3 linked regions of the Lepisosteus oculatus genome follow. The protein of the gene in region 1 interacts with the protein of each later gene in a pairwise test. Links are inferred from orthologs where the notes say so. Each region holds a gene or a part of one and is shown on either strand. Other genes may lie near its edges. The genes, in order: nab2, tchp and cwf19l2.

Region 1 (7,664 bases):
GTTATGAGTGTGAGCGGCGTGCAGAGACGTGTTTTGGATGAACCGGTAGTTTATTTCAAACTTGAATTGAACACGGGAGAAGAGGAGCCCAGAAAAAAATATAAATGAACCAATAAAAGAGCAGAAGATATAATTGCAAACGAACACAATAAGTTATGTTTGCACAGTACGTCAGTTGTGTTTTTTTGTTACTTTTCATGTTTTAATGGAGTTTAAGTAATACTGCATTTCCACGTTATAATCATTAAAGAGGGGAGTCACATTAGACTATTTTGTCTCGTTTATGTGATATTTACCCACTATAAATAACCGATTCATTATAAATAGATGGGTTTTTGTCATATTACATATTGCAAGGTGTAACATAATATCAGACTCCTTGAATCCGTCATTCACACGGAAATGCTCAAAGATCAACGTTTGCGACTGACTTGGCAGCTCGAAGATGACGACTGGAGTGGCCCGTGAGCGCGCACAAACGTGCACACGCCCCTCCCCGCCACCGCCACCGGCCGAGGCCGCTCTCCTGCCCTGGGCCCCCGTGCGCGCCGCCGCTCGCACAGGGGCGCGCGGCCTGCTCCGTATGCAGAAGATCAATGATATTTCAAAAAGGCGAACGCAAAAGGGCTTTGATTAGCTCATTTCCTTCTGGCGTTTTCATAAAGCGGAGCTACGGGCTCTGTTTGCTCTTTTTTTTGTGCGTTTCTTGATTTTTTTTTCTCTCCTTCTCATTTATTTTCCGAGTCCCTGCCGCCGCATACAGTACAGGGCTCCATTCCTCTTTGTCTCTCTCCCTCCCACACGCCCGGACGTGCGGTTTCTATTTCTGCCCATTCCGGATGCCGGGCTAATGGGTTCCTTGAGGAATAGTTGCAGTCTGTGGGTGGGCGAGATCAACTGGAGCTCATGCTTGTATACCGGGAGATGGTGGGGGGGGGGGGAGCGGCTCGATACGGGGGCGGGAGGATGTGCGTCAGCTACCCAGAGAGCGAGAGAGACCGAGAGAGAGAGAGGGCGTGAACGGCGGAGGGGAAAATGGATTAGTGGGAGCAGGAAAGGACGAGAGAGAAAGAGAGGGAAGGAGCTGTTACCTCCTAGAGCCCCTGCCAGCCTGGTCAAGGCCCAGTGGTGTGTAAATAATCCTGGGAAAAACAGGGAGACGGATCCCCTTAGCACGACAACTCCATGTCTAGCCCCACCAACCTACGCCATTGCTGCTCTTTGTTGTAACCAACTCCTCCGATACAATATTGACTCCTCTGATTATCAGTTACGCAGCAGGTTGTGGCAGAACTGTGCACTGGAGCAGCCTGGAAGGGCTACAGAAGGTGTAGCTCTGGCCTACAGGAAGACGAGACCCAAGCAATCAAATTGCACTGGGGCCTTGTGACCATCCTCAGTACTGCAGACCTGAACCAATGTTGTATGACAGGCTAAGGCTGCCTGGATCTGCTGTGCTACCACCGCAGGAGCCACAGAGCACAACTGGCAACCAGTAGCTCACACTGGCCAAGTCACCACAGCATATTCCTGCATTGCAGCGCTGTCAGTCTAACGGACCGCACACATGCAAGGTTACAATCAAGAGGTCGTTCGGCTCAGCTGGCCCGTTTGGTAGTTAGTAGCTAATTGGTCCAGGGATCTCCCTGGTGGTCTAGTGGTTAGGATTTGGTGCTCTCCTTGCTGCGGACTGGGTTCGATTCCCGGTCACAGAAGCGTGTCTTTTAAGCCAGCAGCCATATCACCCTGCAGCTCACAACTGGCAGACCACTGAAGGTCAGCAGGTGTGAGCCTGGCCAGTACCTGATTAGGGGACATCTAGGGAAAAGCTAAGGTTGCTGCTGGAAGAGCTATTAGAGGGGCCAGTAGGGGGCGCTCATCCCGAGGTCTGTGTGGGTCCTAATGCTCCAGTATAGTGACGGGGATGCTATACTGTGAAAAGGTACTGTCCTTTGGATGAGACGTAAAACCGAGGTCCTGACTCTCTTTGGTCATTAAAATCCCAGAGCGTTTCTCGAAAAGAGTAGGGGTGTTACCCCAGTGTCCTGGCCAAATTTCCCATTGGCCTTTACCAATCATGGCCTCCTTAAATCCCCATCTCTGAACTGACGTCATCACTCTGTTCTCCTCCTCACTGATAGCTGATGTGTGGTGAGGGTACAGGTTCACTATTATTATACAGGTTCATTATTATTATTCACCAACCATTCCTTGAAAGAAGCCAGGGTCTCATCAACTTGGTTGAGCAGCCTGTACCACACTCCCACCACCCTTTGTGTAAAGGGTCTTAAATGTACCCCAGTGTAGGTGCACTTTTGTTTCCACCGCCTGAAAAAGGATAAAACCGAACAGCCTGGCAAGGCTCGTGGGGAGTTTTTTCCCCTTTTTACTGCTTGTCATTTCCTGGTATTTGCCTTGGGCTTGCTTCATCACTATCCCTTGCACTCAGCGTGACTTTGCTGGGCTGAGTTTCTCCCAGGCTCGGCGCCTTGCTGAGGCGGACTGGTGGTCGTCGCTCCCAGCAGGGAAAGGGGCCCTTGCTTTCGGGCTGCGCCAGTGGCCAGGCCGCCCCCTGCAACCAGAGGAAGGACGTGCAGGCATCTCCGGCTCCCCCACAGACGAGCCGATTGTGCCCCAGAGGACAATGAGTCTGCTGTCCCGGCAGAGGTGCTGAACAAGCCCTGCAGTGTGAGGCTGCCCCCACATGCCCCTGGGGCTGCCTGCGCATCCCAGCCAGAGGGGCCGGGAGCAGTCCAAACGAGCCTGAGTGGCCTCATTGTGTGATACGTATTGTCCCCCGAAATCTCTGCACTGGGACCTGCTCCTAGTCCGGGCTGCATTAAGGGGAAGCCGGAGCGAATTTCGTATTGCTCAGTACTCTGAAGCCCATTCGCAGAGGGGAACATCAGACCCTGAAAACTGCCCCCTTGTTCTTGCTCCTATAATACGACTGCTTGCTATCCGTTCCTACGGTGTCTCTCCAGAACGGATCCCTGCATGGCCCGATCAAGAAATCATGGTTAGGTCGCCTACTTTGCCCAGACATGTGAGGCTTGTCCCAGCTTCACTACCCCATCGCAGCCCGGCTGTGGAAGCAGTCTTCCTTCATCACAGTTTCAAACACGTAATCTGGCTTTTCAGCTGAAAAAGATGACAAATAGACATTGCAAGGAGGCAAGATACAAAAGACAGAAAAACATCCTCGGTCTTTACTGGATTCCTCCTAGTTACTCTTTTCAATCTTATGCACCAAGACAGCCCCTGCCTGTGCACCTCCTTGCACAAAGGCGCTCGTGCACGATCTTCTTAGGAACGGGGGTCTCAGACACAGCTCCCTGAGTGCCTAGTGTCTGCCTGGCATTCGCCGGAGTCATGAAACCGTTTGCCCGATTATTGTCTTTGTTGTACATGCGCAGGAGTTTTTGTCTTTGCCAGGTCTTTTATAGTTGATGACAACTCACTGCAAAACCCGGCTCAGCCTGTCTAGAAGGCAGTTAATTAACTAACGAGACCAGCTGGTAAGTCTGGGTGGGAAAAAAAAACAAACAGATACCAGTCCCCCTCCAGGGGGCTGTGTTCAAGACCTCGCCGTTAGAAAAGTCCAGTATTTCAGCAAATTCCACCCATTATAATTAAGACGATTGTATACCTGGCTCAGGAAATGGAGCCGATACAGGAATTATGGGATCTCCTGGGATTATGGGATCTCATCCCGAGTGGGACATTTGCCCATCACACAAGGAGACAACAACTGAGACAACAACTACCCCACCAGCATGTCTCCAGAATCTGAGAGGAAACTAGACACCTAAGAGAAAACTCACACAGACACAGCGGAACATGCAAACTTCACACAGACGGTTCCTCAGGTCGGAATCGAACCCGTTGCGCCGGCTTATATAATGAGATGTTGATATTTTGTAATGCTGGTGCTGCGAATTGACAGAAAAAAAAACATCTTAATTGTTTAATTGCTTTTAATAGGATCCACACAGTGACGCATAACGGCCTGTTGTGTAACGTCAGGGGATAAAAGAGAAGGTGGGCGATTTGCAGACGCCTTCGCTATTCACCCACTTGGACCTGCTGTCCTTCTCAAGCAACGTCATGGCGAAAACAGGAAACGAGACTGTGTTCGTTCTAGGGTGAGAAAGTCCCAAGCTAACGAAAGCCGGGTGTTCCACTGGTGCGATCACACAAGCAACCCAGCCGACCAACTACGTACACCGCGGCGGAGGTATGGGCACGCCAGACGCAGGCAGCCTGACAAGAAAACGCTGCTCTTGCATATCATACCGGCTGCAGTCGAGCGGAGAGTTTTCGAACGGTTTTATGTGAGCTGAGAATTACATCACTGGGGAATCCCCCCTTGTCAACTGCGTCACGCTTCGGATCCGTCGAACCCAGTCGGAAGTGGCCCACGCGCCTCCCCCGGACAGCCACACGCTGGCACGCTCACACACAGCCCGCTCCCGCAGAGCCGCGGTGCTGCTGATGGAGTTTTTCTGCTGTTCGTCATAAAACAAGACACACATCTATCATGTACCTTGTTTTACCAGTTTGCCAAGGTGTTTGTTGAATTATTCTAACCCAATAATAATAATAATAATAATAATAATAATAATAATAATAATACCGATGTTCACAAACGCACTCGAAACACTGTGGTTACGTAGTTCTTCACTCCTAAGCGCTATGGAGTGTGAAGTGGAGACAGCGAGACGTAGCTCTTCTGATGACAAGGAGCGAAGCTCTTTTAATACCCCGAATTTCACAGACTCCAGATGCACAACCCAAGTCATAAGAAGCAATAGATGTGTTTTACTCCCATAGATCTACAGGACTGGAGCCTTTTCGGCTGTGGGAACGGATGGTGGGTTATTATTATTATTATTATTATTATTATTATTATTATTATTATTATTGGTGATGGTGGTAATATTAATTGCATTGCTGATGTTTAATTAGCTTCTCTTGCTTTTAAGTTGCGTCATTTTTTCAGAACTTTTTTGTTCAATCAGAGGCTTGTTACTGTGTTACGGCTACTGCCGAAATGACCCGGGCGCCGTGCAGGCGGAGGGCGATGCGGACAGGGGCTGTCGCTGGGGCTCCGTGCAGAAGTCGCGGCAGTGCACTTGTGCGTGCACGACTGAGCCCGCCAGCGGCAACGCCGCTCTGTGGCGCTGGGGAGGTGTTGAAATCGACGGCAGCGGCGTGATGGGATTTGTCGACAGATCTCCGCGCCTTACTGCGTGATCCGCAGCAGTCTTTGAGCACTTGCACGGTTTGGAACGGCCTCGACACAGGGGGTGTGACTGGGTCGTTCAGGTCTCTTCAGGAGAAGAAACCCGCACTGTAGAGTTAGACGCACACACCAGACCGAAAGGAAGTTTGTAGGTGGCCGGGACCTCTCTCGCCGCAGTTGTGTTGTTGTTGGTTTTTTTTTTTAAAGAAAGGGTTAAAATGATAAAAGCTAGCATGTGAATCCCCCCACCACCCTATCCCCCCCAACTTCCACACCCCCACCCTGAAAGCCGCCTCTCTACCCGGGAGAGGAAAGCTCTTTTTCGGTCAGATGGCGCGCTGCAGTCCGCCCCCGGGTCTCTCTCACCCACACACCCTGCAAAACACTGTCTTTAACAATGCGGTCCGCCGAGAGAGGACAGTAGCCAGAGAAAACAGGCAGCCCGCAGGACAACAAAGTATCGGCAAGAGCAGAAATTAAGGGGGGAACAATAAATATTATCATAAGATAAGAAACAGGGAGAATAGGGGGGTACAAAAACCAGGCGGGCATGTTGGACCAAAGTTTCTAGAAGTTCTGCCTAAACGTTTCGATTCCTGTCTGCGCCGGGGCGGTTGAGGGGTGAACAGGGAGCAGACCAAAGCCGAGGCAGAAGACGGAGCACAACTCACCCATCGGGACTTAAGGGAGAGCAGGGGAGGGCAACGGGGGAAACTCTCCGTTTTCTCTCACTTATTTCCCCCTACACACGCTCCTCTCCCTGCGCGGTGTTTTTTTTTTGCCTTTTCCAATTCAGCGTCGGAACAGCGACGAGCGCGAAAGCGTGAGCGGGACAGCCGCGCTCCGCAGCGAGGCGAGCCGGGCAGCTGGCTGGGCGTTCCCGCCGGGAGCCGAGCCGAGGAGCGCGCCCGCGGGGCACCGTCTCTACGTGATCGCAGCCGACCGGGCGGATCCCAGAGAGGTAGGGCGATCGTCTTTGCTTACCCGGTGACCTCGGAAGGAGCGGGTGCCACAGCCGGCTGCCTTCGTGCAATTTTGGGGTGCGAGTGATCCCGTACGGCTGCGGGTGGCAACTTCTGAAACTGTAACTATTGTGAAACGTTCTGCGTCAGGGCTAGAGCAAGACACACCGGCGTAAACCCCTCTTCACAGATGCCGTTCAGCACTTACATGATCTTTCCCACCCCCAGCTTGTGCGCTTATTATTACGTTTGCAGCTGTCCGCCCGTTCGCAGATCCGCGGAATCGCGACGTTTGCGAGTCGCCGGTGTTTCAGCCGCTGTAGGCAACCATTCTGACTGCCTCCCTCCCCCCGCGAGCAGGTTGTGTTTCTGAACATACTATCCTGATCGTGTTTCCCAAGTCCTGTGCTTCGCCGCTCCTCCAGATAAGTCGCTTTTGTATTCAGACCCTTGTAAATCAAACTTTTGCTGACCGCTGTTTTCCGTCAACAGCTGCAGAAAACAGAATTCTGTACTTTCGGGGGATCTAGAAATCAGAAATTGCGAGCTGTGCTCCACGTCATACGGTACCTTTGGTATTTTTCTATCTAAACCCGCTGTCCCCCGAAGAGCGCGCACGCAGTACGCAACGATGTATTGTCGAGAGGACGAGGTTACTGTCGCAAGTAAGAAGCCCCATGGGCGCATCACAGCCAGGGGGCTCGGTGATTAGGAATATCCTGATAGCGGATCGGTTGGGTTGTTCTATTGCTCCGTGGCGAGGTACTGCCGGCCACCGTGGGCACGGCGCACCTTCTCCCGAGAAAGCGTCTCTTCTCCGAGCCAATAGACCGACGTCTCGCCAGACAGTGACCCCGATAAACCTTTATCTGCTAGAGGCGCCAAATGTCATCTCTTCTGCCTGTCTGGTCTTTCTGTGTCGGACGTGGCTGTGTCTTATCAGCATTCTTAAAAACGTGGGAAACGCAAGCATGCACTGTGTTAGATATCAGGATATCGAGGTGTTTTTGAAGAGTTGTCCCTCAACCGCTGCTGCCTTTGATATTCTCAGATTGCTCTGCTGGCGTGTTCAGTATTTAGTTTGCAGACAAGTGAGGTTCTATGCGTTTCGCTTTTCTGATTCTTTTTACTACTGTCTGCTACTGTGACAGCAGCTTAGGAAAACAAGCGGGCTGTGGCAGTGGAGTCGGCGAAGCACAAAGACGGCGTGGTTAATGGGATTTAGCTCCACGCACTTTACCCGATCTGTTTACTGGGATAAATACACGCCGCACCCCGAGTCAGTTCAGACCAGCTTCTAGCAAAATCCGAAATGGATCAAAGTGATGTGCAGTGGGAGTCTAGTGTTTCTCTGAGTAATAAACATAGTGGCAGCAACACCGCTAACAGCAATAGTGGTACTAATATGGACTTTCGGTTGTGATTGCTTCCACATGCACACGGTGCAGTCAGAACAA
Region 2 (7,503 bases), on another chromosome or scaffold:
CACTCTGCATGGAGAACAGGTACTGCTCCAGCCCGGCATTTAGCCCTAGGTTAGGTGAGAATAAAAGGTCAGTGGCCAGAGACCTGTGGCTCTTAGACTCAGCCTGAGTTTCACAGGATGTATTACAATGGAGTGTCACACAGCGATATGTACAATTAACCCAAGTCATACTGCCTGACCACCAGGGAGATGTATGAGGGGCCATGGCATTCTTCAAATGACATCTAACTTCATGATACATTTACTCAGACTTCAGTAAAAGCATAATTGTTAACAGGAGATATTGAAAGAACATTCATTTCAAATGTTAGGTGCCAGTGCATTTTGCTTTTCTGCAAAGTTAAGCAAGAACTGGTATTAGATTACCCTATGCCTCTCAATAAGGCATAGGGGCAAATGTTAATTAATGGTGATGGTGCAGGTACCTGTTTTTTTTCTCTCGTTTGCACCTGCCAGCTGTTCACTACATGGTCCTTGTGCAATGCTGATTCAACCTAGAATATAAAAGTATAAGGGGACGTTAAGGATTTCTTTCCTAACTTTAACACCTAACACTAAGAAGACAGAAAGTCAGATAAAACTTTTATGTCAAAACAATTGCATATTAAGCTGTATATATGTCTATTTAAATTAAAAAAAACAGTCTCTTAGGCTTCAATTGATTCTGCAAAATCCCCTGCTGCAGGTAGCAGGTCTCTGAAGAAATAATTTATCATTATGGGACAGGAACTCAATCCTAGGGTCAGGATTACACACTGTCATGGAACAATGATGTCAATGGCCTATTAGTTTCAGGATCAAGTCAACACCTTGACGCACTTCTCCTCACACTTTCACACCATGTGGTTCTCTTTAATTTTGCTGTATTTCAAGGACTCAGAACAACATTAACATTTTAAAAACTGATCCTTAAGATTCATTGCAGTTAGTAAGAGTACCCTACCTTTCAGAATGTAACACGTAGGATACAGAAATACTAGAGATGAACAAATTTCATATAACTGGATGCCTTCTGCATGTACCTCAAAATACAAGTAAATAACAAAGTGATGTTTGCAAATAAACTTTCAGACCATGCTTTTACCACATAAAGCATAGAAAAACAAACTGTACCTGACGTAAATCTGAATTATTTCTCTTCCAATGCTCCTGCAACAGCTCCTCTGCCACCTGTGACCAAAATCAAAAACTGCATTAAGGATTGCCAACAAGAATGCAGCTAACTCGATGATCAGGCCACTGTTTTCTCCCAGTCATAGCTTGGCACCAGCTGTCTTTGTTCTGTCTCACCCTGAACCTTTATCTTTCGCACGAATCCCACAATAACACGATTGATTATGTCAGGGCTGGATCAGGCTGAAATATTTCCCTGCTTACTTCAAACTACAGGAACTGGTTTCTGTAACGTGAGCACTGCTTGTACCTTCTTTCTCCGCTCTTCCCTGGATGTCCTGAGCCCCTCCATCCTCTCTGTCATCTGTTTGGCCAGCGTCTCTCTGTCGGGGACCAGTTCTCTGAGCTCAGCCTCCAGCTGGTCCCTCTCCTCCTGCAGGAAGGCTCGGAGACGGGCCCTGCGCTGCTCCAGACTCCTCTTCTTCTCCTCCTTCACTTTCTCCTGATGGTAGGCTGTCATGCTGGCAACAGGAGAGAGGCTGCCAATACTTAAATGGGAAAACTCAGCAGTTCACAAGGCTAAGAATTATTAGTAGACCAGTGGAATATGAAAGCACTTTTAAAACTGAACACAGGAGTCCTTTTTTTTCTCCACATAACTTTACGGAATAAGCTGCCCAACCATGTTGTTAAGCGCGATACCCTGACATTGTTCACGAAATTGCTGGATGAAACCCTCGGATCTATGAGTTATAAACAGCTACATGAGCTAGTTGTGCTGCATGTCCTCCTCTAACTTGTAACCTTTCTCACGCTCTTTTTTAAAGATCAAGGCAAGAATCAAGGAATCTTGCTTTATTGCAACGGGTATATATGAAAATAACGTTTTTCCTATTTTTTATCTTAGTTCTAAAAAGGATTGAACGCCTGTAGAAGGGAATGACTGTTTTATAAGAGTGATCTAATTCCATCCCAGCAAATTATCCTCGATGGGTCTCAAACACCACATACTGAACATCCCAAAGCACTTTGCCAAGCAAAGCGCGTGTAAACAAAAAGCAAAATCAACGATTCATCGTTGTCCAGCACATTGAGGTTAATAAAACACATTGTTGAAAGAGGTTTGCTGAATCACCTCTGGTGGTAAGACTGTCGGGAGCTCCACTGGGCTTGCTTGCTGCTCCGCACGTTGTTCTGTTTGAAATACTGCGAGTGCAGCTCCCACTGCTGCCGGAAGCGAGCCTCCTGCTCCCGCTGTCGCACGATCTGCTGCTCCAGAACTCGAGAGCGGCTCGGACAGCGCATCGAGAGGGTGGGAAGAGCCATCTGTTTCCTGCACCTTAAAAAAAAAACAAACGTTCATTGTAATGTAGGAACCCTTTCCTTTCAAACATCAATCAATACTAAAACAGAATGTCACAGGACCACAGATGATTATATTCTACACCCTTATTACCATTATTAAACTTTACAATGGGTATTCCTAGTTTCCTTGCACTAAAAATGACAATAACAACTCATTCACCTTTAGACTTCTACATTATTAAATGCGTTACCGTACACAAATAAGCAAGTATTCAACAATATTGCATAGATAAATGTTTAGATGTTACGCGTTATGTTTAACAGTGGTATCGTACTGTTCTTATCCCCTGCGATTTTAAACTAACATACATCGCGATGTACTATTGTAATGTTCATGTGAGACATATTGACTTGGTTTAAACATCTGGTTTCATAAGCACTCGAAATCAATATAATGCGAATTTGTAGTTCATGCAAAAGGGGACAATTCGTCTAAGAGGCAAATACTCACTGTAGAAATATGATTATCACGTTTTCAATAACGCAGTAAGGTAGGCTTTATTCCAAGTGGAAGCTTGTTCCAACTTCAAATTTCAGAAATTTCAGTTGGCGACAGTTCCTTTCGGCTATTTCCTGTTTCACTTGGTAACCGGTTTAACTTCCTGGTTACACTACGGATGCCGTAAGGGACAAAGCACATGCTTAGACGTTTCCCGTGTTCTTAACTAATGTTTCGAAACCGACATTCTGGATGTCCATAGCCTGCGTTGAATCTGCACTTAAAGGCTGATCACAATAATTGTTCAAACAAATTGCATGAAATGGCAGATATAATGGACTTTTCTGGGTTGGTGGCAACTCTACATTTTGTCTCGCTAGAAATTCTCAGAGAAACGCGTTTTAGGCACATGTTTAGCTGAACTTTGTCTTGAAATGCCAAAGATAGCACCTAAAAACCCACTGTTTTATGACTTGCTTGCTTTGAAATGTTAATTTTTTTTAAATAGAGCATCCAACATTTAGTATTTAGTGTGCGTGGTTTGCTCCTATAATAGCTTCGCGTTTTATTTAATTTTAAATTAGAAAGAAAGTAGAAATTTACGTCACCAGTCATTCACCAGTCACTGTAAATCACAACAATATAGGATATACCTGTCTGGTGAATGTAGGAGACAAAGATTAAATATGCTTCGTTCAATTTCATTGTCTGCCCCGCATTAAATATAGAGCAGCTATGAATGTTTCATGATGAACAGATAACCATGGCTAATTATACCCTAGAAGTGTTGTCAGATATCGAAATTGTCAGTTAAAGGGTAAAGAGGATATAAATAAATTAAAAGAAAAGCCCTTTCACAAGTTTAGAATGTGAGGAGTTGGGTCCTCTGAATTATTGATCCCTTGCAATGTTCTGCTTTAGTACATTTAAGTGTCGCATATATCTTTAACGCAAATAATACAAATAATGCAAATAAGACTTGAAAAGTACCCATTATTAAACATACTGTATATATAGTGATTGATTTATCAGATATTGAATCATCACGACATATTTTTGAAGAGCTGCTTAATTATTTTTGGCATTTTTATAATTCAACGTTTTGACCATGTAGCAAACAAAAAAATATATCGTTTTATAATTTATTTACTCGCTTATCTATTTGTTTCTTTCTTTGTCTTTTACAGAGGAAACGTTTAGATAGAAATCTCTCATCTAAAACCATAAAGCGAAAGGGGAGATTATGTACATCTACACTTGTAAAAACCTTTTCTTCACACGAATCAAATCCTCCGGACATTCAATATGATACAACATGCCTGATGTGAGCCCTGTACTGTCTCAATTTTTGTTTTCCTTTTTGGAACCATGTTTAAACTCAAGGACCACAGTTCAACGAGTACTGTAGGTACAGAAGGTTCCAGGTAGGTCTGTGCCGCACGGCTCTGGGAGTTTCTTTTCGGTATTGGCTGGTGTTGTCCCGCCCACCTTGCACCTGATAGGCTAATCCGAAAATCCAGCTGGAGCCACTCGCTCGCTGTGCGGCCCCCCGAGCTGTCAGTTCAGTCGCTCCTCTACTCCACCACACAAGCGCTCTCTCTGACAGTTCCGGGTTTCTGTTTTTGAAGCTTTATTTCCCCCTCGATTGACGAGTTTTAAATTACGGTTTTGCCGTGACAGTCGCGCACCATGGCTCTTCTAGCGGAGCATCAGTTTAAACAGCTTCCAGCCGATAAGCAAGTGGATACCAGATCGTTTTTGGAGTCGGTGTCGTACCTTCCGTCTTTCTTCGGTAAGTTTCTTTAAATTCACCTGGGCAGGGAGGACAAATCACCTTTTTAGCAACGGATGCCATTCCTTTCTGTAAACAAAGCGATCTCGGGGTGTGTTGTAGTGTTATCTTTGTGTTTCCACATAAGGATCTAAATCGCTTGAAGTCGTATTATCCATTTTTTTAAATCACCTTGAAGTCTCTTCACTTTATGCACGCACTTTGGAAATGTGTTTTAATGCTCCAGCTTCTTTATAAGATTTAATCTGACCACGGTCAGGTAAACAAAGAGTTTTATCGCTACGTTGTGGTCTGTTATATCAGTGCTTAATAGTAGCATTTTTTAAACGATCGGAAGTTAAATATTTTCATTCAGCTGCTCCGTGAAGTTTAGTCTAACTTTGCCTCGGTAACTTCAAGATGAATGCTTGGTCGGAGGCGAAGCTTACTGTAAGATTCAGTGATGTTCCGTGTTTGAGATTTGTGCTCTGCATGTGTTAAGAAAAAAAAAAGAGGTTTCAGAGTGCTGCTTGCCCTGTACGCAATGATTACCAGAATTGCAATAAATGAAACTCCGCTGAAAACGTGCAGAACTGCACTACACCGCAACATCGTTTCTTCTTTGAATACAGTACAATCGTAAGAGACATAACAGCCGCGCTGCTTGAGGTATATTTATCGTTTTGGCTGCTTGGCATATATTGTTGTTAATGCCAAATAATCAGCAGTTAGTAACTAATTAATTATTCGATTAATTAGTATTTCCTATTAATTGTCCAATGGCATTTTAAATCAACTGCATGAACGGTTTTACTACCTAGAACTGCAGAGGAAATTTAAACCTACATTTATTTAAGAGAAATTGAACAGATTACAGGGTCTCGATAACATAGAACTGCCGCTTATCTTTGCTTAATCTTCTTCACTTTCTCCGGCTTCAACATCCAAATGAAGAACCTGATAGCCTGAGCCTGGTGGTATCTGGATCCCGGGCTGTAAACATAAGATGCTGCCTTTAAACGTGAGAAGCGCACTGCTTGTCTAATCTATATTTACAGCCTGATAGTAATCCCACGCTTCACTACGATGGGTTGACCCAGAATGAACAAGTACTCGTTTAATTACTGTTATTCAACAGACTAACGACTGCTTTATAAAGGAACACATTCTGTAACGGGGTAGCTCAAAAGTCCCTTCTCATGTTGTGTATAAAAAAATAACAAAATCGTTTTATCCTGCTCGTTGTTGGATAGACACTCATTCTGTTTTGATAGCTACACTTATCTACACTTCATCTATAAAATACAGTTTAAAGACTTAAGTTCTGTATAGACCTGGTGGGGTTAGGGAAGTCATTGACTCTGGGGTAAGTGACTGAAGGTTCTGATATTTGCAACATATTAAACACACCTATGCCTTACTTTAAATGGAGAACAGATTTTATTTTAAGGCCACAATATAGTAAAAGGCACAGAGCAGCACTTTCCATTTTTAATGACTAGGCAGCTCTAATCAACTGGAATGTGAATGTAGTATACTCTTGGAGTGTATAAAACCCATCATTGCCTGATTTCCTGTTATGTTCTGAAGTGATGAGCAGACACGGGCATTGTGATTGTAGCACAGGGGTCTCCCTGACGGGAGATGGGTCTGTAAGGAGGGGCGTACCTCAGTTATCTGATGTATGCTTTGTTTTACCTGTTTAACTGTCCTTTGTTTCATTTTGTTACCATTTGAAGACTGGTCTTTCAAGGTTGGTAATCGATATTTTAATGTGTGATTGCATTGTTTTCTTTGTGTGTGTGGGTCCCCAATATACATAAAATGGTGAGGGGCGTATTGTCTTTACAGCATACTCTTGTTAGACGAAACAGAACAAAGGAATGGAAATTGGAGACTGACTCCTATTAAGCATTGATGCTGCATTATATACTACTGTACATAGAATATCTCATGTCCCAAAGACTCCAGTGCTTTTCCAAAACACTTTCTCAGTGACTTATCTCCTGCTGAGTGTATGTGTGCATTTGAAACCAACAGCAGTAGTTTAATCTCTACCTGGTGCCCGGTGCCACTTTAAATAACCAGACAGATTTCACAACGCAGACAGATTTCCATCAAGGTCAAACATACCACCAATGTATTGGCTTTAAGCTGGAAAATATTGTATACAAACCTTACAGAAATTATTTCAGCAGATTTGGACATACAATCTGCTGTAAAAAGGAAGGCAAATGCTTCATGTTTCCTGACCTAACTCCTACAGTGAGTGGCTTTTACTGGGTGGTAGGGACAGTTCTTTTACATAACCTCTAAAGCAGATTAATCTGCTTTTTTCCCACATGCTGTTCATATTACAAAGATTGTTCAAGGATGCTGTCCTAGAACGCTCTTTCTACAATCCTCTTAAAAGCTCCTAATACGGACTTTTGTTTCTCTGAGCATCACCCTGATCTTAGTGAGAATACAAAATCAGGCACCTGACGTTACAACTAGACGTTTCAATTGGAGACATCCCGAGGAGGTAAAATTCGAAAATAAACGTCTGTCCTCATTCTGATTCACAACACAGTCACACATATCCATTCTGTACTTCCACACAGCCTTTCCTCAGTGGTAACCACTGAAATGTGAAGGCTGAAATGATTTTTCGGCTCTCAATGAGGGGCAGTGACATTGCAAACCTATTCGAAGCCAATCACAACATTTCCCGTGAGCCACAGATTCCCTATAGCAGCTTTATACTGTGAGACATCGCCTTTAACATGCCTTAATCTTTTAGGCATCCAGAGGCCATTTTTGCCTGGAATGGATG
Region 3 (7,496 bases), on another chromosome or scaffold:
CAATATGCGCAGAAAAAAATACACTGAAAATTCCTGGTGGATCTCATCTTTTGTAACAGAGCCAAATAAAATGATCTGCTTTATTTATTTAAATTTAATATTTTAATGTCTTGCATCTACTTGATAGATAATGATAAGAATACTTACTCTAACAGCTTTCCACCTGAAAATCAACCTTTCCTTGTACTTCATGGTTACTGACAGAATTATCTTGTTAAAGAGTGTTTCCTTTTGAGACATACATATGACATAATGTAACAAATGCAGTAATCAGGAGTGTAACGCAGCTCCTGAGGCAGGGCCTATGGAAATGTCTAACACTTAGTGACACATTTTTAAGTGCTCACACAGAAGAGTGGGACATCATACAGCTAAAGATAAAGATAAACATCAGATAAAGATCCAATACATGCAGACAAAGAGGCACTCCAATGCCTCTGGAAATGAAGATGCTGCGATGGACCCTCGGCTGTAGAAGACTAGACCATGTCATGAATGAAGGGGCGCGATAAACACTCACTGAGAAAATGAGGGAATCGCGCCTGCGACGGTATGGACACGTGCTCTGCAGCAATGACACATCAATGGCAAAGACCGCCCTCGAATTGAATGCGGAAGGCCGCCGGCCTCATGGACAACCTTAACGCGCTGGCTGGACTGGCTGAAAGACGACATGGGCCTCGCAAAAGTCTCCTGCCGAGACGCCGCAGACCGTACGAAGTGGAAAAATCGGTGCAAACAAGCAGACCCCACATAAGTGGGAAAATGTGAGGAAGAAGAAGAAGAATACATGCAGACAAAGATTACATACTTTTGACTCACCTGGGTGACATGCGGCAGCCATCTCACACCAGCAGCCCCACTACACCGATCAGACATAGCAGTGAGAAATTGTTCAAGACTGAATTAAGAACTTTAGGTAGGCCAGACTGGACAGACCCATAGCAGAACTTAGTCAGGAACCAGGAATCAACATCCCTTCTCAAACAGCACTGTGGCACCTTTAATGGTCAAGTAGTTTTGTAACAGAGCCAAATAAATTGATCTGCTTTATTCAGGGTTTAAGGTTTAGGGTCTCATTCAGAAAATAACACCTCCTGCAGCATGGTGGAGGACTCCATACTGCAGCATTGATCAAGAAACTTTGGAAAGGGAAGAGCACCACCTACTGGTCCACCAACCAAGCTACTGCTGTGAATGCTGTTTTCTCATTTTATACGGACCAGACCAAGACCTGTATTCTGAGATCTGTTGAGATAAGGTAACTCGGCCCAACTATAAAAGGTAATTTAATTAAAAAGCCACTCGCCAAGAAACGTGGTAATTTACCTTAACAAATACCGTATTTTCCAATAAGGTTTATTTAAAAAAAACGATTTTTCTTATTAAATTGATTGTTTCTTTGTTACCACCAAATCAGACATGTGGTCAAACGTCAGAAAGGTTCAGGCAATTCACCTTGTCATTCAAACAAGCAACAGGTCTTTGAAACTCTAGTTCTGCATATACTGTACGAACTTGCTAGCATACCTTAAATTGTTATGGTATTTGCATAACACATTAACATTCTTAAAGCTTTAATTTTCGTCCAAGAAGCTTATGTTCCTAGGCGTCTGCAAAGCACTAGGGAAAAAAAAAACCTCGCCTTTGAATTTGCACCATGCCGAATGCAAATTATTAAGTATTGATCATGATTTGAGAAGACGGGGGGAAAAGTAAAGCTCAACACGTCAGATAGAAGCAAAGGATTTCAACACACTGTTCTGAGGCATGGTTTATTCAAAAACCAAGGCTTGTTTTGCCTTTGCTTCTGAGCTACAGGCGGTGTTTGGACAAACTGCTGACGCACAAATAGGCTTCTGCGCATCTTTTCCTTCCTGCAGCGGCGCGTAATGCGTCTTATCACCAGCGTTCAGCATTTGGTTTTGGACTCTCCAGCCAAGTAATTAAAGTGACTGATGACAGCAAGGCAGTTGTGCTGATAAGGTTTATGATACTTATTTTTGTTCAGCATATGCGATACAAATTTTCATTACAAGAGCCCACGAAAGAAGGAAACCGTTCCACCTCGCATAGCGCAGTTGAACATTCCTTAAGATAAATTATCGGGTGCAATGTTGCTATACCTATTATCACGCCGTTACAATGCCTAAATAATTCAAGTTTCTATTTTTAATTTTATCTTCTGTGTAAGACTAATAACTATCCAAAACTGGCGCATACATTGATTTTAATGTAGAATAGTAATACCCTAAACTTCCTGAAGAACTAAAGGAGATGCTTTCAGTATCTGCTTCGGTGCCAAGGACAGAATAAATAATGAATTCGCTCACAATAATTTATTTAAAACGTCTGAATAGTTCCTTTCCAGAAAATATGGAAAAGAAAATTACCCTAAGAGACATGTACATAAGCTACAGACGACATCGTTCACTGCAGGTGCGATATCTCCACCTTGTGGTTTCGCTGTTATATGACGCGAGTAAAAAATCAATTTCCCTCTGCCCCGCACATACAAGAGCTAGTTATATAGTATAACGTGCCAGAGGAAATTGGTGATAAAAAGAACTAGGAACCGCTACACCAGTTTATAGTTCAGCTAATATGACTCATCAAGAACTTTGTCTGACAAGAAGTTACCAATTAAATACAGTACAACAGGCAACAGAAGTGCAGAAATGACATTACTGATAGTTGTCTTGAAATATTCCATATCCCGTTTCTTTCAAAGCATAAAATCACTTCCTCGAAACTGCATATACTCTATAATCCTTATTTGCTTACGCGTACGTGTAAAGATTTTAAGTATTTCAGTATTAACGATTATTCAGTAAATACGGCAAGAGTATTCATATTAAGCACAGATGTATAAGTTCCCACCCTTCTTGGAACACGGAGTAAGCAATCTTCACAAACAGTAATTTTCATCGAAACTCACACCTACCTTCTTCAGAATGTCTTCTCTTGCCTTCCTTTTCAACTCTTTCTTCTCATTGAGGCTGTTGGCACTTTCAAAACTACCACCGTACGCCGCCATGACGATGCCGCAAACCGAGCGGCCGGTTAATCCAAGGCCTTTTAAACGGTCGTAAATACATTACGACAGTTGAAGCCGCAACAGTACATAACGCACAGCTGCCCAGAAGTTATTATATACATAAAATGAAGTGGTCTGGGAAGAACCCTTTGAGCATTTTAAAATGGGTGTAAGGGAGTGTTCGCAGCAAAAATATGAAAGCGGTGCGGACGTTATTTTTATTTAATTTGTTTAATCTTTTTTCATAACTTGAATTTATGTTGTAATATGTACCCCTGACGATCTTTTTGTCTTGAGATGTTATATGTGCTCGTTTGTATTTTAATTTGTGTTATTCTGTTATGCATAAATTAAAAAAAACAGCTGCCCAGAAGTCAATCTACGGCAATAACTGTACAGTATTTGTTTTGTGATTACGTCATTGGATTTAGAAGGGTGCGATAGAAGGTGTAGCGAACATTGTTTTTATTATGCCAGAGGTCATTTTTTATTGCACTTGTGATTTTGGAATCTGTTCATACAATGGTCTTGGGTCAAAATGAAAAATCTGCCATATGACTTGATTATGTCATATGTGAAATTATAAACCTTTCAGGAAATGGGAGGTGGTGTGGACAGACCTCATGCAAAGGCTAAAGATCAGCTCGGATCGTTATTTAATAAAATCCGGAGTTGTTACTAGAAAGTCTAGCCATGTTAAAACAGTACAATTCATACACGTCATTGCTTCACTTTGTAATTGTGCACAAGAAGATCTGCTGTTAATATTCAAACAATCCTGGGCAGGTCTCTGTGCTGGGAAACATGCAGCCAAATATTCTAGTGCCAAAAATTTGTCCCAGCTTTTGATCAAAGGCCTATTACCCATTAATAATAACGCAGATGACTGGTGCAGTTTAGGACATAGTTTCACCTGAGACATCACAATAGTAAAAAAGAGTATAGTATACATTGCATTTTGAGATTTGTAAAATCAATAAAAAACTAAATACGAACTTACTGTAGAACAAATGTAAAAGCAATTAAGAAACTGCTGCTATGCGTCAATTCTACGTTTTCAAAGTACAGAACATATAAGTCTAGCAATGCATAGGGAAATGGTATTCAGCAAGCCATATTAAAATTGAGACATCAGAGGTAAAGATCTTAAGCAACTGCATATTAAAGCACAAATGCTAAGGTTTAAACTCATCAAGCTTTCAAAATAACACATCGAACCTCGGAGTCCGTAGTATGATATCCTTTCCAAAAATGGTGCTTCCTGATAAGTAAAAATCTTTTTGCAGAACTTTTATTTTCATTAAATAAAATACATTACATTGAATTACTTCATTGCATTTTGAATTACTCGATAACGGCCATCATAAAAATCACACTAAAATCTTTCTTTTTGGCTTCCTTAATATCACATTTAAAAAATCATTCACTTTTCTTCTCTAATATTACACACCAGTTCCCTTGATCATAGTAACTGGTCTGGATTGCAATGTTCTCCACTTCTCCACACAAGCTCTCCAACTCCTCTTCACAGAAGACGTGGTAATAGCGGTGAAAGATGGGGCAGATATCTGCAGATCCTAATGATTTTCCCACGTTTTTGTCCCTGGGAGCAGAGCTTTTCAGATGCCAGGGGACAAGCAGGTCCTGGGAATGGAACGCAGTTCTGTTGGTGTGAACGCTCAATGTTGACATGTTTTGCCGAGTCAAAGGACAATCTTTGACCTCCTTCCCAGCAGGCCTGTGGTTTGATGCCAAAGAGGTGCTGTGTCCTAGGTGGTCCGCTGTTTGCTCAGGTCTTTGCGCAGAGCCCTCTTCTTGATTCACCTTTTTCCCCTTCAAGTATTTGGACTTCTGCTTGTTATATTCCTGCTCCATTGCCCAAACATAAATAAGTGCCTTTCCCCCAGGCCTCAAAAGCCTCACAAGTTCTTTAATGGCAGCTAGTCTTCTCTCCTAAACATGAAACACAATTAGTAAGCTCAGTGAATAATTACATTTTTCTGCTCTGTTCTTTTTTAATAGCCAATACAAAGTAAGCCCAGGGGAGCCCTAGGTAGGGTAGGTACATTGCAGAATTGTTTAATGCAGAGTGAAGAGGTGGCAGTGTTCCACGCCCCAAACTCCAAAGTTCTCCCTAATACCTGTAACTGCAGTGGAGATTAGCCAGGTTGTATGGTTTTCCAGTGAGTATTCTAAAGCATTCTGTTGATTGAGTACTGAGTATTCTAAAATACTATAAGGTAACACCAAAACACTTTCGTGCTTCACAAGCCTGTCCATTTCAATGGCTTTAGAAGAAATAAACTTTAAAAACAGTGAATACCTTTTTATTAACTTTAAATACCTTTTTATGTCTATCCTTTTATTCCAGAGACTAAAGCTGAAGTTAGATGTAACTTTTCTCTTCAGAAAAGGTGTGGTTTGGGAAAAGATTAGATACAGTAGGCAAACTAAGGCTTCGACTTGTTTTCTTCTTGAACTGTACTGAATATCTCCTACCTAATGAAAAAATGCAGCCTACTGCTTTATCTGAGATCCTCACTGATCTTCAGCTGTTTTTGTAGCACTCTCCTGCTAGCCTTTTTTCATCAAGTGAAATTTCCTATGAAAAGAATAACTAGGAGAACCATCCAGAGCCGTTGTGTCCTGCCTGCTCTAGGTAAGAAGAACCATGAGTGTCTGCTGACCTTAGTGGAGAAGTGGTGAATGACGGCGATGGAGATACAGGCATCACAAATGCCACTGCGAAGAGGCACCTCAAGAGCATCTGACACCAGGACCTGGAAGCTCCTCTCTCCGCAGATATCCACCAGGTTCCTGCTGCGATCACAGCCCACCTGCGAAAACACAGGAGGGGGGCAGCGGGGCATCAACAGCAGCAAGGGCCAGGAGCCATGTCAGAAAGGGATGAGCAGACTGCACCCACCCCGACACAACCAGGGCCATCTCAGTCCCCATCCAGACAGCCAGTAGCCTTTATAAAAACCACCACAAAGGGGTTTCTCAAAAAGCAGCATCACACTGCGTCCCAGAAGATTCGGATCGGATCCTGTCTGCAGCCACCTCTGTGACTCTTGAACAAACAGTGACATCCTTTGAAGGTCGCTGAAAACACACGTAATGTGTCTGTGTTATGCAGAGTTTAAGTCAAGGGGTGTTATTGTGGGCCTTTCTCCGTGAGCATATCATCTTTTTATATTTTGTGGCAGTATTTTTTATTTTGACACGTAAAGTATCTTATTTACGTTTTCCAAATGCGTTTTGAGGTAACATTTGAAATATTTAAAAATGTGTTATCTCATGCATAATTCAACAATGCACCAGTTACAAGCAAAGAAAAAAAAACATTTTGGGGCACTATGAGGAGTGTACACCTTTAAAAGGTAAAGGCAATGACAATAGCTATCCCCACACATTATTCTGGCTAATTTTTAATAAGACATGATTTACACCAATAAATCAATATCTGCTTTACTGCTTGAAAGACACAGTAAAAGGCAAATAAAAACAGAAATTTACAGAGGATGCCATGTTTGGTGCTCAAATATAAAAAAAACTTATAATTTACGATAATATTTTCTTTTAAAAAGTGTCTTCCACAGTTAGGGGTTCTTTTGCACAAAAATAAAGCCTGCAGCTTGCAACATTATCTTATCCAAACAGACGAAAGGTCAAAATTATCATGGAAAGACAATTATGAGCTATGAGCTAGGGCTTTGTCACTTACAGAAATTGTGTTACACATTTTGTTCGACCTATCCTAAAAAAATGCTTTCCTCCATAGTTGTATAACAAATACATCAAACAGTACCGTTTTTAACAGCCAGTACATCATACTTTCCTTTCCAATACAGATTTTAATATAATATGGAATTGAATCAAAAAGCAAAGTGTTATATAATACACTTGGTTTTCTGCATATAAACATGATCTTATCTAAAAGACAGAATACTTAGGACATATTCAAAGCTGTAATCTTTCATCTGTTTATCTTTTTTTTTTAAAGATGTGTACTTCAGGAGCCCACTGTCTCCCTATACCATAAGGGGACGAGCAAGGACACTGCAAATAATTTGGATTATCAGAACGTTAATACTAATCAATGTGCAGATTGTAACTTTTATGCACTTACAAATGCTACTTTATATTCTTTTCTAAATGAAGATGATAGTCTTTCAGCTCAGCTCGATGGTTTGTTCCAAACGAAACCTCACGAAGTAGTAATATATATGCTTTGGCGACAATGAGGAGAACAGAGCTGGGTCAACAACCCGTGTAATTCACTCAAATCATACAGCTCGTTAACACAGAGTAGAGGGGCTTTCCGTAAAGTATCATTAAAACTGCAGATCTACGGACTGTCTTACCGCAAACAGGTCCTGTTTTAACCCCAGGTACTTTCCATTCCCACAGCCTACGTCTGCCAGGATGGCGCCAGTGGGCAGAGACTGGAGGAAGT

The links.
Region 2: the proteins of nab2 (region 1) and tchp interact in binary tests that used the Homo sapiens proteins (3 or more experiments, as listed by UniProt). The two-hybrid records come from large-scale screens. The link is inferred for Lepisosteus oculatus from reciprocal best matches to the Homo sapiens genes NAB2 and TCHP.
Region 3: the proteins of nab2 (region 1) and cwf19l2 interact in binary tests that used the Homo sapiens proteins (3 or more experiments, as listed by UniProt). The two-hybrid records come from large-scale screens. The link is inferred for Lepisosteus oculatus from reciprocal best matches to the Homo sapiens genes NAB2 and CWF19L2.

Annotation. Positions count from the first base shown.
Region 1 is NC_090696.1:15,542,864-15,550,527, forward strand, and holds the start of nab2 (NGFI-A-binding protein 2), read left to right. Parts: upstream 1-4,660; 5' UTR 4,661-4,870; coding exon 4,871-4,873; intron 4,874-6,041; coding exon 6,042-6,206; intron 6,207-6,576; exon of another isoform or gene 6,577-7,640; coding exon of another isoform or gene 7,641-7,664. UniProt on the Homo sapiens protein: Acts as a transcriptional repressor for zinc finger transcription factors EGR1 and EGR2. Isoform 2 lacks repression ability.
Region 2 is NC_090717.1:5,755,737-5,763,239, forward strand, and holds the start of tchp (trichoplein keratin filament-binding protein), read right to left. Parts: upstream 3,081-7,503; 5' UTR 2,930-3,080; intron 2,453-2,929; 5' UTR 2,440-2,452; coding exon 2,249-2,439; intron 1,635-2,248; coding exon 1,424-1,634; intron 1,171-1,423; coding exon 1,114-1,170; intron 495-1,113; coding exon 426-494; intron 1-425. Other genes in the region: gltpa (glycolipid transfer protein), read left to right, coding at 4,607-4,709. UniProt on the Homo sapiens protein: Tumor suppressor which has the ability to inhibit cell growth and be pro-apoptotic during cell stress. Inhibits cell growth in bladder and prostate cancer cells by a down-regulation of HSPB1 by inhibiting its phosphorylation.
Region 3 is NC_090700.1:10,208,486-10,215,981, reverse strand, and holds the start of cwf19l2 (CWF19-like protein 2), read right to left. Parts: upstream 3,072-7,496; 5' UTR 3,038-3,071; coding exon 2,945-3,037; intron 1-2,944. Other genes in the region: alkbh8 (alkylated DNA repair protein alkB homolog 8), read right to left, coding at 4,457-4,990, 5,725-5,874, 7,405-7,496.